4 linked regions of the Saccharomyces cerevisiae S288C genome follow. Changing the gene in region 1 together with any one later gene gives a genetic interaction. Each region holds a gene or a part of one and is shown in the gene's direction. Other genes may lie near its edges. The genes, in order: ERV15, PGM1, SLM3 and PUT7.

Region 1 (4,317 bases):
CCCCACATATAAGAGAACGGTGGAATATTTGAACTGTATGCAAAGAAGTTTCAGCGGGGACCTTTATTTTAGAAAAAGCGAATAAATGTCGCTCATTTGTTTAAACGGTATTTGTTGGACTGAGGGTTGCTTCCATACGGAAATGCTAACGAAGAGGATGTGCTGAATTTTGCTATGTTTGGAATGGGCTCCTCCATCTGGGAATGATAATCATTTTTATTATTGTGTGTTCAAATACACTTACACATCTGTTTTTTCGTGGTAAGGAATCCGAGAATCACATGAGGTTTGGGATAGTTGCTGGCAATCAATGAATGACATCAGATAAAACGAAAGGAGAAATAATATGTTGATAATTAGAGGTTAAAAATTAGTATTAATGAAGAAATAATTACTGATCTTCTTATACTAAATAAGAGAGGTATATAAAACACACGCCGATTGGTCATATTAATCATGACCAATATAATAGTGATTCCGGTAGTTACTATACATTGATGTGACGACTCATATTCCTCATATATGTACCTACCATAACATGTTCAACTAATAGGTCTTTAACACAGCTTCAGTATTGTCTGAGCTTCTCGTTTAACATTCCTTCTGCAATAGGCGCAATCACACTTAAACGTATACGAGTTGTACATTAATATACGATGTAAGCATTGAATTGTTACCATAGCAACTCATGTCACTATTAATTACTCTCGTTCCAACATAATATTATTATGGAGTAATATCTATTCCCTTTCGTGGATTCCAAGATTCTCGAGGTATATTTCCAGTATATTTTGTATACCTGATATTATAGCCTTTAGCAACAACGAAATCAACATTTATCTCAAATTTCACCTGTTTCTCATTTTTAAGCGCCTAGCCCATCTAATCATCTTAACTATTCATCAGGGAAAATTAATATACATTGTGCTCTTAATGTTTCGAAAAATAATCAAAATCAATAGAAATAGCGTTTTGCTACTAACAAAGCCCTTTGATCCAAAGTTGGCTTCTGAGAACTTAACATTTCAGTAGAACAAGCCTCAAGCTTAAATGAAGAATGGCAAAGTAAATGAGACCTCTCTCTCCATATTTTGCTCAGAGCCTGTTAAGGAAAACAACACCGCACATTAGTGTGAAAAACTTTCCCCGCAAGCTGTTGGAAGATGAATCATTTATTATCTTTTGACTGTTAGCTACATTACTAGCTGTTATCAATCTCTCAGACGATTATATGAATATTGAGATAGTTGTTGGGATTAACTTATTGTTAGAGGCTATAGCATCAGATATACAAAATAAAATAAAAAGTTCTCCTCCAAGATATAGTGTAATCGATATTTCGATGTAATGCCATCATTATTTCTTCTATTTTATGTATTCCTATTGTCCTCTAACATTGTATCTGATAATATTCTAGTAATAGGATTACCATCACTAAATGATAGTTAATTCTCATTCCAAAACCGACTCCTGTCAATATTGAGGACCCATTTATTCCAACGGTCCAAATCCCCAATATTCCCTGCTCGGCAAGAAGTTAGAAAACATATCTTTCGTGCTCTTGCAGGCTTGCTGTATTATCATAACCGAAGGATGACCAACTTTGATCACCCCAGGTGGCAAAAACATAATACATGGTGGTGGTGTCGTTGTAAAAATCATCTTCTTTGGGTGTGTATAGGATCCCATCCAACACACGTGTTAAAATGACATCAGGTATCAATGCTAATCCGTCGTCACTGACAATAAGCTGAGTTGACATCACCTGATGATGTGAAATAGTAGCAAGAGAACTAGGGTAAGGTTCATGCTGGTTGTTTTCCTATGATGACCAACCTTTGGAATTGGGTAATTCTAGGTGTAGCCTGCTAGCCATCAAACGAGACCTTTCAAAATCTTCAGTCATTACATTTTCTTCTGTAAATAGGGAAAAAAGCCTTTAGCTAGGATTGTTCGGCAATAGAAAGCCCTCCAGTTTAAACTTGACATAGAAAATCTTTAAGGTTAAATCAAACATAAGTTATTATCCGATATAGTGTAACGGCTATCACATCACGCTTTCACCGTGGAGACCGGGGTTCGACTCCCCGTATCGGAGTTATTTTTTGTTTCTATACCATTATTTTTCTTGAATGTTGCATTATGATAGTATAGTTTTGCTATACAAACTTCAATTCTCAAAACACAGTACGTCTAGCTCACTACTACTCTCTCTAATTCAAAATCGTTCACTTCTATCGAAAGCTGTGATAATTTGGAAATATTGTCGTGGGCCACGAATGATTTTTCAATTACATTGCTAAATACGAAGACATTAATACCTTTATTCATATAAGCACTTTCATTATCATTTTTTACTAAAGATAAAACTAACTGCAGGCACCAAGAAGTTCGAAGCCAAGAGTAAAGATGTCAGGAACCGGATTATCGCTATTCGTGACGGGTCTTATACTGAATTGTTTGAATTCCATTTGCCAGATATACTTTACTATATTATATGGTGATCTTGAAGCAGACTATATCAACTCAATCGAACTGTGTAAGAGGGTGAATAGGTTGAGTGTACCAGAGGCAATTCTACAAGCTTTCATTTCTGCATTGTTTCTTTTTAACGGGTACTGGTTCGTATTTCTCTTGAATGTCCCTGTTCTAGCATATAACGCAAGTAAAGTCTACAAGAAAACACATCTACTGGACGCCACGGATATTTTCAGAAAATTGGGTAGATGCAAAATTGAATGCTTTTTAAAATTGGGATTTTACCTTCTCATATTCTTTTTCTACTTCTACAGAATGGTCACAGCGTTACTTGAAAATGATGCAAATTTGATAAGCTAATAGCGACAACAGGAAAAAAAAAGAGAGATTTGTGCATATCTATGAAGTATGTCTACCACATAAAAATGACCTTATAACACAACTTCCTTAGTATGGAAGTAATACATATATACATATATACATATATACATACATATATATATATATATATATATATATACATCTTTTGAACCAATTCCCTATAGACTTGGTTGTAATTCGTTAGAAAGATTTTCATTAATTTTATTTATCTTTTTCAGAAGTCCGTTATATGGATCCATCAAGTCTACGAAATGTGCAATATCCAGAATATTTGAGTCATCCCGTATTGAATCGTCCTCGCTATCTTGGCTCATAATTTTGCGATCTCCCTCGTATTTGCCTAGCAAAGTAGAAGTCAAATCATTTAGCCTCTTATTTAGCTTCACTTTGTCGTTCAGTTTGGCTTGTTCATTTTGTAAGTCATGCCAGTCTTTACCGGCTTTCAACTCTTGAATTTCATTTCGTACCGATATTATCTGCTGGTTCAAATCTTCTTTTCGAGCAAGTACCTGCTTCAGTTGGTAGCAGAGCTCATTATTCGACACGTTGATATCTAATATGTCTTTCAAGTCTCTGGTCATTTGGTCTGATATCGTTTGAAAGAGTCGCAGATCTAATTTGTACAATAGTTTCCTAAATTGATCATCATCACTTTTATTGAAATCCTTCAAAGCTTGCGGAATCAAATCATTTTCAAATAAGTTTATGAATAAAGAAGATAAAACATCAATTGTGGTCACAGAAGTGATAGACGATGATAGCTGTCTAATGGGTATATCATCGAAATTGTAACGAGTAGTAAGGTCTTCATCATTTCTAACATTTTGCGGCGATTCGCTTATAAGACTTTTATTTTCAGAGTCGATCATGGGATAGTCTTCTGCATCCAAGGGCTGATACCCATGTTCATGACGGTCCTGCGCATTTACGTTATTAGTGGTAATAGGAAACTCGAAAGAATTCGCAAGTTTTGGTGAAGACAAAATGGGTTGAACAGGAGATTGAATAGGTGAGTTCTCCTCTCTATAAACAGCATTTGGCGTCTTAAATACAATAACATCATCATCTATATCGTCTGTCCTTCTTGAATGACTGCCCCTCAGCCTAAAAGCTAATTTAGTGTCTCTATCCATACTGAGGTTTTTCTTTAAATGAACACGCAAATAGTCAAGACAATACAGAGCAACACAGGACACGTAAAAAAATGAGAGCAATCGCTTCTTATACTGCAACGATGTTGACCCTTGCCATAATAGCTAATGAAATCAATCATTATCATTTCTACTAGTCCTTTAACAATATTTGGATACACCATTAAATTTCTCCGTACAACACGATAAAATATTTTCTACCAGCTTCAAACGGCTGTGAAGGGGCGATAGTGCCGTTCCAAAAAGCGTTCCCCAAACTTGTATTCAAGACCAAATCTTAGTCAAGCAAGCAGTTTCGCACCTTCAT
Region 2 (3,844 bases), on another chromosome or scaffold:
ACTTGACTCGCACATGCCTGCTGGGTCATATCCGAATCTGCAAGAAATTAGGATTACAAATATTTATTCAAACGTTGCACAACCACGCAATAGAAGATAATATCTGTAAATTTTAATCGCTTTCATCTGAAAACACTGAGCCTCTTCTTAATTTTCACGGACTTTTTCGCAGCCCAGGTTTGACCGGCTAAGTACGAACCTCTTTTGTTTGGAATAAGAGTTTGGTATTAATCAATTGTTGGTACAAAAGATTAATAGTATTACTTGTGTTTTCAGAATATAATTGTCCGTGAGCGTCCTAACTGTCATCGAGTTTATAGGAAGCTAATTAGTAAGGACTGACCATGCAAACCCAGCAATGAATGAAAGGATATAAACGAGGGAAGAAATGGTAGCAGTATTAAGTAAAATTGTCCATTTCCCCTCGTGAAATTATCCAAAACGCGGCAGAAGAACTTTTAAGTTATCTACTGTACATAGTGTTATTGTCCTCACGTGAATTGAATTGAAACTTTTTCAGAACATTATCGCTGAACTATAAATGAAATTTTGTAATGATTGTTCTGATCCCATCTTACTAAAAGCATTATTGTGAAGTATAAAATACAATAAATTTCTTCTCAAAAAAACTTGCCGTACATGATATGGAGAAATAGGTGAATTTAGGGATAGTAGTTATTATAATGAGCCTATTATAGAGAATCTATTATCGATTTCTAACGGTCGTATCAATCTGTTGTATTACGGGCTCGAGTAATACCGGAGTGTCTTGACAATCCTAATATAAACAGTCTTAGGGAAGTAACCAGTTGTCAAAACAGTTTATCAGATTAATTCACGGAATGTTACTTATCTTATATATTATATAAAATATGAATCATACTAAGTGGTGGAAGCGCGGAATCTCGGATCTAAACTAATTGTTCAGGCATTTATACTTTGGGTAGTTCAGCTAGGGAAGGTCGGGTTTTGTCTCATGTTGTTCGTTTTGTTATAAGGTTGTTTCATATGTGTTTTATGAACGTTCAGGGTGACGTATTGTCATACTGACATATCTCATTTTGAGATACAACACAATCACGTTTAAAAGCCTTGTTGGCGCAATCGGTAGCGCGTATGACTCTTAATCATAAGGTTAGGGGTTCGAGCCCCCTACAGGGCTTTCTTTTTAAAACAGGATGCTAAAGCCGACACCGTTCAAACACAAGTGGCAGCTTTTCTCGAGAACAGCAATGCCCACAGTTTTATTTACAATTTTACACTATTGACGTGGAGATTTTTTTATCCCGCATATGACCTAGTAGAGGATCTCTGTCTTCCCCTGATAAATGTCAAATGTATGACGTTACCACAATTGTATCACGGTGGTTTCAGTCTGTCATGAGGAATAAGGGCATTCAGTACCGACAATGCTATACTTGTAAATAGAAAAATGATGTTCTAAAATCGGCATTCTCGCTATTTGAGATTTTGTCTTTTTTTACCTGGTATTTCGCGTTTATATTACGGATGCAAGAAAAGGAGAAGGGCGCATCACATCGATTTTGGTCTACCTATAAACATTCTCTCTCTCATCCACTTTCGGTTCAATAGTGCAAAAATAGGTAACTAACAACTCAATTGAATAGTAAATGTCACTTCTAATAGATTCTGTACCAACAGTTGCTTATAAGGACCAAAAACCGGGTACTTCAGGTTTACGTAAGAAGACCAAGGTTTTCATGGATGAGCCTCATTATACTGAGAACTTCATTCAAGCAACAATGCAATCTATCCCTAATGGCTCAGAGGGAACCACTTTAGTTGTTGGAGGAGATGGTCGTTTCTACAACGATGTTATCATGAACAAGATTGCCGCAGTAGGTGCTGCAAACGGTGTCAGAAAGTTAGTCATTGGTCAAGGCGGTTTACTTTCAACACCAGCTGCTTCTCATATAATTAGAACATACGAGGAAAAGTGTACCGGTGGTGGTATCATATTAACTGCCTCACACAACCCAGGCGGTCCAGAGAATGATTTAGGTATCAAGTATAATTTACCTAATGGTGGGCCAGCTCCAGAGAGTGTCACTAACGCTATCTGGGAAGCGTCTAAAAAATTAACTCACTATAAAATTATAAAGAACTTCCCCAAGTTGAATTTGAACAAGCTTGGTAAAAACCAAAAATATGGCCCATTGTTAGTGGACATAATTGATCCTGCCAAAGCATACGTTCAATTTCTGAAGGAAATTTTTGATTTTGACTTAATTAAAAGCTTCTTAGCGAAACAGCGCAAAGACAAAGGGTGGAAGTTGTTGTTTGACTCCTTAAATGGTATTACAGGACCATATGGTAAGGCTATATTTGTTGATGAATTTGGTTTACCGGCAGAGGAAGTTCTTCAAAATTGGCACCCTTTACCTGATTTCGGCGGTTTACATCCCGATCCGAATCTAACCTATGCACGAACTCTTGTTGACAGGGTTGACCGCGAAAAAATTGCCTTTGGAGCAGCCTCCGATGGTGATGGTGATAGGAATATGATTTACGGTTATGGCCCTGCTTTCGTTTCGCCAGGTGATTCTGTTGCCATTATTGCCGAATATGCACCCGAAATTCCATACTTCGCCAAACAAGGTATTTATGGCTTGGCACGTTCATTTCCTACATCCTCAGCCATTGATCGTGTTGCAGCAAAAAAGGGATTAAGATGTTACGAAGTTCCAACCGGCTGGAAATTCTTCTGTGCCTTATTTGATGCTAAAAAGCTATCAATCTGTGGTGAAGAATCCTTCGGTACAGGTTCCAATCATATCAGAGAAAAGGACGGTCTATGGGCCATTATTGCTTGGTTAAATATCTTGGCTATCTACCATAGGCGTAACCCTGAAAAGGAAGCTTCGATCAAAACTATTCAGGACGAATTTTGGAACGAGTATGGCCGTACTTTCTTCACAAGATACGATTACGAACATATCGAATGCGAGCAGGCCGAAAAAGTTGTAGCTCTTTTGAGTGAATTTGTATCAAGGCCAAACGTTTGTGGCTCCCACTTCCCAGCTGATGAGTCTTTAACCGTTATCGATTGTGGTGATTTTTCGTATAGAGATCTAGATGGCTCCATCTCTGAAAATCAAGGCCTTTTCGTAAAGTTTTCGAATGGGACTAAATTTGTTTTGAGGTTATCCGGCACAGGCAGTTCTGGTGCAACAATAAGATTATACGTAGAAAAGTATACTGATAAAAAGGAGAACTATGGCCAAACAGCTGACGTCTTCTTGAAACCCGTCATCAACTCCATTGTAAAATTCTTAAGATTTAAAGAAATTTTAGGAACAGACGAACCAACAGTCCGCACATAGAATTATTGGTCTTGAACAAGCACTAATTTTCCAAAGATGTTTTAACTGATCTTAATTTATATGTAGAGGATATATGTAGTATATCTATTTTTTGCTGATTGACTTATCAATTAGCTTCATAATACAACATTGTTTTTGTTTTTCGTTACTCGCGACTTTCTTCGCGGCAGAGCCGCGCTACAGGAAAACAAGATCAAAACATGCCCCTATTGGAAGGCTTAAAAAATGCTTATCCCGAACGAGCCAACGGTAATCAACACTATCGTCATACCAACAACAGTTGAGTTATTTTTCGCTCCCATACTTTTTAGAATTGGTTTGTTTGTGTTTGGTTAAATTTCAAAGCCTTTATATTCTTTGATATAGATTACTCTACAATTTCTTTGTATACAGCGGGAAATTGACACTTCAAAGTTCCTCTCATATCAACAAACATTAATACAGTTCCTGAAAATGTATTCTTGGAAGTCAAAGTTTAAGTTTGGAAAATCTAAAGAAGA
Region 3 (5,192 bases), on another chromosome or scaffold:
CGAACCCATTGGTTATCTGTAATTGTTTATCTTGTATGTCACCAGCTGGCGCATAGTGACTTAAAAAGAAAGTTGGATCCTTAAAAGACTTCGGTTTCTTTTTCTTTTTGTTTTCGTTTTCCTGTGCTTCTAATAATTGGTCCGCATCTTCAAATTCTTTTAAGGCATCCTCTGACACGGTGTAACCTGTCTCACCATCGTCACCTTTCAAAATTTCATCTTCGATAGAATGTGAAAGACCAGCCATTCTTTCCTTTTCTAATAGTTCCCTTCTTTCAGTCGCCTTTCGTTGAATTGGCGCTAATTGCTTTCTTCTCCTTTTCATAAACACTGCCATTTCATCGTCTGGGTTTCTGGTGAACTCAAATACCGTTTCCTTGTTTCTTCTGTTTTGCAATTTAGCCAAAAAATCCAATTTTTCCTTCTCTTCATTTTTACCAAAAAATGCATTTTGAGCATCCCAGCCAGAAGAAATGATCTCTTTACTTCTCTTTAAAGATTCAGGGGAGGCGGAAGTGCGTGTTCTGTAGTAAAGTTTTTCTGCCTTCATGGCTGTTTTCTTCGCCAACTGAAGGTCAAAATTAGAGGACATCAGATTCTTATAAAGATCACCTAAGCCTTCAACATCCAGTCTTGGACATGAACCTAGAACGAGTCTTTTTGTGTAAGAAAGCTTTGGGGGTTGAAATTGATATTCCGGTTTTCCTTCATCTATCCACCTTTTCTTCATCACGTCGACTAGACTATCGTACATTGGTGTTAGAAGAATTTTTTTCCCCAAAAATAGCTCCAAATCTAATAGGTAAGGTAATTCATTTTCAGCGACAATGGAATATGCCCAACCTTTGTTACCGGCTCTTGCAGTTCTACCTACACGATGTACAAAAATTTTTGATGAACCAGGTAATGTGTAATTAATAACATTGGCTAACATTGGAATATCGACACCTCTTGCAGCAACATCTGTAACAACCAAAATGGAAGTTAAGCCCGCCCTAAAATTATATAATTGACGTTTACGAGCATGTTGGTCCAAAGTACCGTAGATGTACGAAATCAAGTATCCGCAGTCTCTTAAGAGTTGAGAAATGTATTCCACATGATGTCTTGTTGGAACGAACAGAATAGTTGCTTTTTCAGAAGGAAGTTCATTAGCTGCAGGCATTTTTTGTTTACGGAACTTTTCCTTCTTGAAATTCCTCCTCTTCTTTTGGCGATCATTTTCATCATCTGAGTCACTATCTGCCTCATTGTTACTATTTTGCAGCTTTTGAAGTTGTTCACTAGTGGCTAACGGAATCTTTATGATTTCTTGCAAAATATATAATAGGTTCGCCTCTCTATCTGCGTTTTTACTGGATAGAAAAAGCATTTCTAAGTTCTCTGAAACTTTCGTTTCCGCGTCCAAACGAACCAAAACTGGATTAACCAAACCAGCCTTAACAAAATCAACCAATGAATTAGGTAGAGTAGCAGAAAACAACAAAGTCTGTCTTGTTGTAGGCAAAGATGCAAGTAATTCATTCAACTGTTCTTGAAAACCCATTTCGAACAACCTATCAGCTTCATCGAAAACAACGTACTCAACACTCTTCAAATCGAGGTTCATTTCAACTTTCAGATGTAAAAATCTACCAGGTGTTGCAATAATAACGTCTGGGTTGGTCATCATCATGCCAAATTGTTCTTCCAAGGAATCACCACCAGTCAAGAGGACGCTTCTTAGTTCTGTTCCTCTGGCAAAATCCTTGAAAACGTTGAAAGTCTGCATGGCTAATTCTCTGGAAGGCGATAAGATGACTGCACGGGCGCCAATTTTACCTGAGTGACTTTTCAATTTTTCCACCATTGGCAAGATGAATGCTGCAGTCTTACCAGAACCGGTACGTGCCATACCAACAATATCCCTACTTTGCAAAATTAATGGGATAGTCTTCCTTTGAATAGGAGTGGGTTGGCGAAATCCCTTCCTTTTAATATTGTTCAATACAATTTTGGATAGGCCAAAGCTGGGAAAACTACCTTTTTTATGCTTTGTTTTCTCCAAGTTATTTGTGGAGAAATATTCATTGACATCATCCTCATCATCACCGGTTTGAGTTTTACCAGATGCATTGTTTTCATCATCTGACATTTCTAACATTGGAAATGCTGCTATTTCCTTCTTACTATTCTTTTTTTTCTTGATGTCCTTGTTTTCAGCCTTCTTCTTATTGTTCACTCCTTCTTCTTCATCTGAGCTGTACTCGATCACATCCTGGACATCGTTGGGACCATAATCAGCTTCAACTTCACTATCGGAGTCGTTAGCATCACTCTCACTATCATTTAAGGCAATTTCATTTGCAATATCAAAGGCGATGTCGTCCTCCTCGCTTCCATTGTCGTCTTGATCTTCGAGATCCCTTTTTCTTTTCTGCACGCCTGCCATATTCTAGGTTAAAGAGATATGTGGTGGTAACTTAAATGACAAAAGTACTTTTAGTGACTTTACTTCAAGCAGTAGGAAGTTAGTGAAGTACTAGTAACTCTCTGTAAAGCCATTTTGTATGAATTTCATCTCATCGCTTGAAAATTTTAAGAGCGCCGGGTAGTAACAATTGGTCTCTTATTTTTTTCTTTCAATAGTTGAGGCAAAACATTGCTTTATTGTAAAAGAATGAAAGTTTGGAAACATACAAGAACGTTAAAAATGTGAGCGTATTGATTTGGCAATCGATTCAAGTCAGATAACAATGCTGGCAAGATATTTAAATTTAATAGGACGGAGGAGTGCTTCACCGTACAGACCACAGCGGCTACCGGCAAAGTTTGACAACGTGATAGTGGCAATGTCATCTGGGGTAGATTCCTCTGTGGCGGCAGCACTATTTGCCGGAGAATTTCCAAATACCCGAGGAGTATATATGCAGAACTGGTCTGAATCACAATCTTTGGACGACCCTGGCAAGGAGCCATGCTACGAGAGGGATTGGAGAGATGTGAACCGTGTCGCTAAGCATTTGAACATCCGAGTTGACAAAGTTAATTTTGAGCAAGATTATTGGATAGATGTATTTGAACCAATGTTGAGAGGCTACAGTGAAGGGTCGACACCCAATCCAGATATCGGTTGCAACAAGTTCGTCAAGTTCGGCAAGCTGAGAGAGTGGCTGGATGAGAAGTATGGGACGGGTAACTATTGGCTTGTTACTGGTCATTACGCCCGAGTTATGCAGGAAATGAATGGAAAAGGATTATTCCATTTACTGAGAAGCATTTATAGGCCCAAGGATCAAAGCTATTACCTTTCACAAATCAACTCCACTGTTTTGTCATCTTTGTTGCTACCCATTGGCCATCTAACGAAACCAGAAGTACGAGATTTAGCGAAGTATGCAGGCCTCCCGACTGCAGAAAAGCCTGATTCACAGGGCATATGCTTCGTCAACAATTCCCAGCATGGGAAGTTCAAGAATTTTTTAAAGCACTACCTACCCAGTTCACCGGGTGATATCATTACCGTTGACCCACAATCCGGTGCCAAAACGACATGGGGCAGACACGATGGATTGTGGTCTTACACAATTGGACAGAAAGTGGGCATATCCATGCCACAAGCTGACCCTAATTACCAAGGGACCTGGTTTGTCAGTGAAAAACTAAGGGATACCAACGAAATCTTGATAGTCAGAGGAAGAGATAATCCGGCGCTATACAGTGACACTATGCGAATCGAAAACTTTTCGTCTTTGGGCCCCAGGGAGGACACTATAAACGCTTTCCAAAATACTGGTGCCTTGACATTACAATTCCGGTCCCTGCAGGTCCCAGTCCAAATTAAATCGTGCAAACTGAATCGCTCTGCCGACAACCTCGACATAACAATACACTTAGCCTCAAAACAACGTGCCATAACTCCTGGGCAATCGTGCTGTCTATATATCGACGATAGAGTCCTTGGGAGTGGGCCCATTTCCCATGTTAATAATAATGACACCCATGCATAGTGATGATAATGAATTTAGTATATCACCTTATACGATGCGCCGCAGCAATTAATCTTAGCAACATACTTGCCTAATTGAACCACGGTGGTACGATACAGCCAAGAAGAGCTCATGAAGCGGCTGACCATTTCGAAAAGTAATCTGTATATATGAAGGTCTTTTCCCTTGAATCATGTCTCAATAAGTAGTTCATTTTTTTTTGCCCTCTTGTTTTTCTTTTTCATTTTTTTAAATCACACTTTTTTTTCTTTTCAAGATTTATAAATCTTCCTTCCAGGTTTGAGCCGGACCCATTGTTTAATTAAAGCATAGAAGGCAACGAAGGAGTGGGTTATAGAATTAGCATTGCGGCAAAAACGTCATATTTATTAATATTTATTTGCGAAGGTCATATTCAACGCAATCGCACGTCCTCTTCCGTCTTTTTTCTAGCTTTTGTCCTTTTTTATTTGTCTACATCCCTTTCTCTACGGTATCCAGAAGAAGGTGTGTGTGTGTGTGTGTGTGTGTGTCTATAAAAAGCAGTAAGAGTCACCAAAAAAAAAAAACGACAAACAAGTGATCCGAAGTGTGACGAATAAAGCAAACTCTCCAACTCAAAATGATAACTGAGGGATTTCCCCCGAATTTAAACGCGTTGAAAGGGTCATCCTTACTAGAAAAGAGAGTTGATTCTCTCCGACAGCTTAACACTACCACGGTTAACCAGCTGCTGGGGTTGCCGGGGATGACCTCTACATTCACGGCTCCGCAACTGTTGCAGTTAAGAATAATAGCTATAACTGCGTCTGCCGTGTCCCTTATTGCCGGTTGCCTCGGAATGTTCTTCCTTTCTAAAATGGATAAGAGACGAAAAGTCTTCAGACATGATCTCATCGCATTTTTGATAATTTGCGACTTTCTTAAAGCTTTTATTCTGATGATTTATCCCATGATTATCCTTATTAATAATAGTGTGTATGCAACACCTGCATTTTTTAATACCTTGGGTTGGTTTACGGCCTTTGCCATCGAAGGTGCAGACATGGCCATAATGATATTCGCCATACATTTTGCTATTTTGATCTTCAAGCCTAATTGGAAATGGCGAAATAAAAGATCGGGAAATATGGAGGGTGGCTTGTACAAAAAAAGGTCATATATCTGGCCAATTACTGCATTAGTACCTGCCATTTTAGCAAGCTTAGCCTTCATTAATTATAA
Region 4 (5,056 bases), on another chromosome or scaffold:
ATAAAGTTTTAGTGTCTCGTTTTCGAAATTTTTCACGTCAAGAGTGGAATAACTTTTTCTCCAAACTTCCAAATCTTCAAAAAATTTTCGTACTAGGGGCAATTGATCAATGGATTGCTTCACTGACCTGGAATCGTTTTTCAATAGCTGTAAAGTCTCTACAAATTGAGATTCAATTCTTCGCAGCTTTAGAGACTGATTGATGAATTGCACACCATGGTCATTGGTTGATGGAGCCGCCGCATGCACACCTTTTGTATAAAAAGAGTCGTTATTGAAAAGAGGTAAATTTATTTCCGACTCCTTGATTGTATAAGGTTTCCCCACAGCAACACAAATCATTCTTTCCAACAGGTAAACACACCAAAATAGTCGCAGTTTCTTATTTGCAAATGGATCATTAGGATACCATTGATTTAGATGAAGTTTCTTCTTGGATATGCCCATGACATCCTTGATTATGTCATATAGTATCAGAGAATCTCTATCAGTCCTAATAATGTAAAGGACAAGCAATGTCAACAGTTCTATTTGCTGAACATAATTCAAATGTAGACCACACTTAGTGATGTGACGGATAGCGGTGGAGAAATATCGGTGAGGTGGAAACCCCTTGTACTTACCTGTGGTCATCAGTAAGTAGGCGCTGATGCTGAAGACAAGCCACATTCTGCCGGATAGAAAATGAAATTCTATTTCAGAATACGAATGTGAATTCGACGGTGGTGCTGCGGAAGACGTGGCGGGAGAAGATGGTGGGATAAGAATCTTGTTGTGGAGGTAGTGGTCATAAAAAGTATAGATTTCTTGTTCGTCTAAGATAGGGTACTTGAATTGTAATCTTGTGAAAAAAGTGTCCAAGAAGGAACGTGACAGCTTCTCATTCAGTTCAAAAATAGGGTCATACATCAAAAACTCTTTTTTCAAATTGTATTTGGCAAAAATACACTTAGTGAAGTCCAGCGTCTCTAAAGGGTCATTCAAAAGGCTCGCGGATTGGCAGATAGCATTATTGTTGTTTATGTTGTTCGTACTGGCCGATGTATCGTTAGTGGCCGCATTAACGTTGCTGCCGTTATTGTTTGTGTTCTCCAGGGGTTTGTTGGAAGGAGATGGCAGCGGCAGTATGACCATATTGCTGCTGTTCGGTCTAGAGTAATCAGAAGTGTTGTTACTGAACAAATGAGAAACCTTCTTGTACTGGGATAATTCGTAGTTGTACTGGTTGCATCCCGGCGATAAATCGAGCAAAGTCTCCAAACTTTTTAGTTTTTTCTCCAAGAAAATCGTATACTGATCTTTGTCTTGCCTCATCAGGTTTGGATTGGAATTTGTCGTGACGGACTTTATCGTTTTCCTGAATTCATTCGCGTCGCCAGCATCAACATTACTATTGCTAGTGGAAATGGGTTTTATTATCGTCATGTCATTCAGAGAAGTGGCAGCGCCAGCGCCAGCGCCAATACTGCTATCTTGCAGCTCACGTTTTATTACAGGATGAGGTGTAGGAGGTACAGTGCCAGCTGTAGGGGTGTTGTTGTTGGTGTTACTGTTCGAAGTGGAAGAAGAGTACTTGGAGGGCTGCACGCACTTTATTCCTGCTTTCAAACAGGCGGTACAACTGGGTAATTTATGGTCGCATCGTTGCTTTCTTCTTCTACAAAGAAGACAAGACCTGGAACGGCCCTTTTTGTCTTGCAACAAGACGTCTGTCCTGTTACCGGCCAGCTCCAGTTCTCTCTTCAACTGTTGTATTTTCTCCTGGCTAACATTCTTCCTTGGACGGCCCATTATTATTTACGTGTATTGTTGGTAGTTAGCCCGAAGATTATGAGTACGTGAAATACACTTGTCTTTATGAAAGAGTGGAAAAATGGTGGGGAGTAAGTTATACTATTGACGTGTAAAAAAAAAAAAAAAAAAATGTTAATGGAACGACCGATCTAAAGAACCATATATAATGAATGACTAAAAAAAGCAAAATAGTTAAGAATCCAAGAAAGATACTAAGAAAAGGCGAAAAGAAAAAGAAAAAGTATGTCCGCTAACAAAGATTAGCGTATAAGCACCACACGATGCGATTCAGGTCTCAACGTGCAGTGTGCAGGAGCAGGAACTATTCAATGTATTGTTGTTCCAGGGTTTTTGTTCGCAACCCACGTCTTGACCGACGGTACCCGCAGGTGAAAATTTTAGCAAAGTTACACTTTTTTTTTCATTTTTTTTTTTCTTTTCTCCTCCATCTAATTTCACCTGCGGTTACCGGCGGAATAACTCGCGCACCATTTCTCTGTCTCGGGCCTCGCGTTCCTCTTTTTCGACTCGAGCGGCCTCTTCACGCTGCTCGTACTTCGCGACGCTGCGCCGGCGCTGCGAGCGTTTCTGTTGACGGTGCCACTGTAGAAGCGCCTCCTCTCTGGACGGCATCGTGTCGTACGACGCCGCAAGTTCGCGCGCGAGCTTAAGCCGGGCAAGCTTTCGATTTTGCTCACGTGACCGCGTTTCTTGGCACTCGACAACGATCCCAGTGGGTTCATGCCGTAGTTGTACCTTAGAATTACACTTATTAATCTTTTGGCCACCGGGCCCTCTGCCGCCATGAAGGAATTTCTCAGTGCATTGTGCTTCCATCTCTGGCGTGAACTTTGGTCGCGGTGGTAGCTTGTTCTTTTTAATCAGCAGCACTGCGGCACTGCTGATTGACCTCTTACTCGCTCCCCTCATCATAGTTTACTAGTCTCGGATTCTTCTGCGCTTTTTCCAGGGTCGCATAGCTTGTAGGTTGGTAGCATAGACTTATATATAAACTCATATCCGTTCTAGGAACGTATAGCGCGCTATGGTAGTCCGGGGAAAATGCACAGTTTAGTTAAGTGTATAGTAATTTTATCGATAAAGGAAGAATGGAAGAGGTTTATGTATACATGTAAACTCTGAACATCTAATAGACTAATGATGCGGTTAATACGTACATTGCCGCTTCGATGCTTCAAAACTAGAATACGGCGGCAAGGCTCGTTGTTGTGTTTGCGGTGCTTTAGTTCGTATTCAAAACCACTTTTGCAGAAATCAATGTCATTGAAAAATATCCAGTTATCAGACCTATCCTCATCGCCATTATCCAAGAACAAGGAGAAGCAGGAGAAGCCAGAGAAGGAAAACGAAGGAAAGCACTCCATTGGCCTGTTAGACAGATTTTCAGAGGACTTTATTACTCAGGGCAATGGATTGAAACCTACTACTTCACAAAATCAATTGGATACTATAAAGTTTTATCAAATGCTTCGTGAAAGAGGCAATTTTTCCGATGAACAATGTAAAATTATCATAGCTCTATTGTTGCAACTACTAAATGATCAGTTTTATTCCTGTTACAATGATTTGTTCTTAAGGGATATGGAGCTGAATAAACAATCACATTTGTTCAGCTCGCTAGAAACAGAATTGAAATTCGCAATTCAAAACTCTAGAGACACGCAACTAAATGAGCACCACTTGCAATTATTAAAACTCAAGAGAGAACTTAACTCAATCCATGATGAACTGAATGAAATCATAATAGATCTTTTGCAAAAGGACGCTAAATTAGAATTTAACAATCAAAAATTAGAAAACACCCTTTTGTATCGACAATTAAACCTGAAATTGAACGACTGTTCTAACAAGATTCAAACCAAGATACTGGGGGATATCAGGTCACATATCGAAAATTTAAGATGGCAGACAACCAGAAGCGGTCTTTTGGTAATATTAGTCCTTGTTTGTTCGATTATGATCGGTGTAAGCGCATCTAAGAAGGAACGCCCAGGTTTACAGGAACCTGAGGAACCTGAAATTTTAGCACCAAAGGAAGACATTGATACTACCTTCCCTCAAGATCAACATGATATAGATTAATTAGCATACATATTGTCTGTACATAAGTATATTGTGTGTGCGTTTTGTTTCACTGAGAAAGCGGACGTCATAAACGATGCTTCCTTTGTTTCGAGCCCAGCTGCCTAAATCTTTTTAAGGGCTCTCCATCTACCCAATACTTGAGAGATTCATTTACTTCCACTGAGTTAGCCTTATTGAATGCATCGATGTGGTTCGATTTCAGCAATTTTTTCATCCCTAAGCAACTGGGCAGGTATAGCCCTTTCACTTTCTCCCTCAATTCTTCTAAGACCTTTGCATTGAACGCTTCAGCGTTTGAAGATGGCATGTTAAAATTCTTGCTTATAAATCCGTTCTCGCACATTATATCGTACTTGAATGGTTTGTTGAACATGAGGCATTCATACGTCGTATTTGTGCCAAACTTCAATGGCAAAGAGACCGTTGTACCACCTTCGGTAATTAGTCCTAAGTTAGCAAAGGGGTATAGCAAATAAACCTTGTCATTTATACTGTACACAATGTCACATAACGCTACCAGTGCCGCGCTCAACCCTATTGCTGGTCCATTCAAACAGCAAATTAAAACTTTGGAATGCTTGATGAAGGCATCAGTGACATAAACATTTCTAGCGACAAAATTTGACACCCACTTGCTTGTTTCCGAAGGATATTTATTGGTATCATCCCCTTGGGCTTTTGCAATACCCTTGAAATCAGCACCACTGGAAAAAAATCTACCACTGCTTTGTATAATTGTAAAATATACATCACGATTTCTGTCCGCTAGTTCTAGTAACTCTCCTAAATAAATATAGTCTTCACCTTCTAGTGCATTCAAATTGTCAGGGTTCATTAAGTGAATAATGAAGAATGGTCCTTCAATACGATAACTGATTTTCTCATTTTGCCTAATTTCTTGCGACATATTGTTCTTCCTTCCTTTACTGTGCGAGCAATTTGTGCCATACACTCCAATTATCTATCCATATGTTCATCTTTCAGTTCTTATATATAGTGCTTCACTTTTATTAACCGCTCTTGGGGTAAAAGAGAAACGGTCACTGCTACAGCCTTTCGGAATAATATTTCTTATGCCCGTCGCCAATTTCAGATTCTTTCCTTCGTGCCGCATTTATTTTATTTTTCAAAATGACGAGAAGTTAAAATCTAAAAT

The links.
Region 2: mutations in ERV15 (region 1) and PGM1 together harm fitness more than expected from each alone (negative genetic interaction), as found in Saccharomyces cerevisiae (2 studies listed by BioGRID).
Region 3: mutations in ERV15 (region 1) and SLM3 together harm fitness more than expected from each alone (negative genetic interaction), as found in Saccharomyces cerevisiae (2 studies listed by BioGRID).
Region 4: mutations in ERV15 (region 1) and PUT7 together harm fitness more than expected from each alone (negative genetic interaction), as found in Saccharomyces cerevisiae (2 studies listed by BioGRID).

What each region holds. Positions count from the first base shown.
Region 1 is NC_001134.8:643,141-647,457, forward strand, and holds ERV15 (Erv15p), read left to right. Parts: upstream 1-2,409; coding exon 2,410-2,838; downstream 2,839-4,317. Other genes in the region: AME1 (Ame1p), read right to left, coding at 3,018-3,992.
Region 2 is NC_001143.9:201,910-205,753, forward strand, and holds PGM1 (phosphoglucomutase PGM1), read left to right. Parts: upstream 1-1,631; coding exon 1,632-3,344; downstream 3,345-3,844. Other genes in the region: serine/threonine protein kinase YPK1, read left to right, coding at 3,798-3,844. UniProt on the Saccharomyces cerevisiae protein: Minor phosphoglucomutase isozyme that catalyzes the reversible interconversion of alpha-D-glucose 1-phosphate and alpha-D-glucose 6-phosphate. The mechanism proceeds via the intermediate compound alpha-D-glucose 1,6-bisphosphate.
Region 3 is NC_001136.10:391,456-396,647, reverse strand, and holds SLM3 (tRNA-5-taurinomethyluridine 2-sulfurtransferase), read left to right. Parts: upstream 1-2,735; coding exon 2,736-3,989; downstream 3,990-5,192. Other genes in the region: ATP-dependent RNA helicase DBP10, read right to left, coding at 1-2,431; GPR1 (Gpr1p), read left to right, coding at 4,591-5,192. UniProt on the Saccharomyces cerevisiae protein: Catalyzes the 2-thiolation of uridine at the wobble position (U34) of mitochondrial tRNA(Lys), tRNA(Glu) and tRNA(Gln).
Region 4 is NC_001144.5:702,234-707,289, forward strand, and holds PUT7 (Put7p), read left to right. Parts: upstream 1-2,952; coding exon 2,953-3,897; downstream 3,898-5,056. Other genes in the region: YLR278C (uncharacterized protein), read right to left, coding at 1-1,791; RSO55 (Rso55p), read right to left, coding at 2,260-2,727; ECI1 (dodecenoyl-CoA isomerase), read right to left, coding at 3,965-4,807.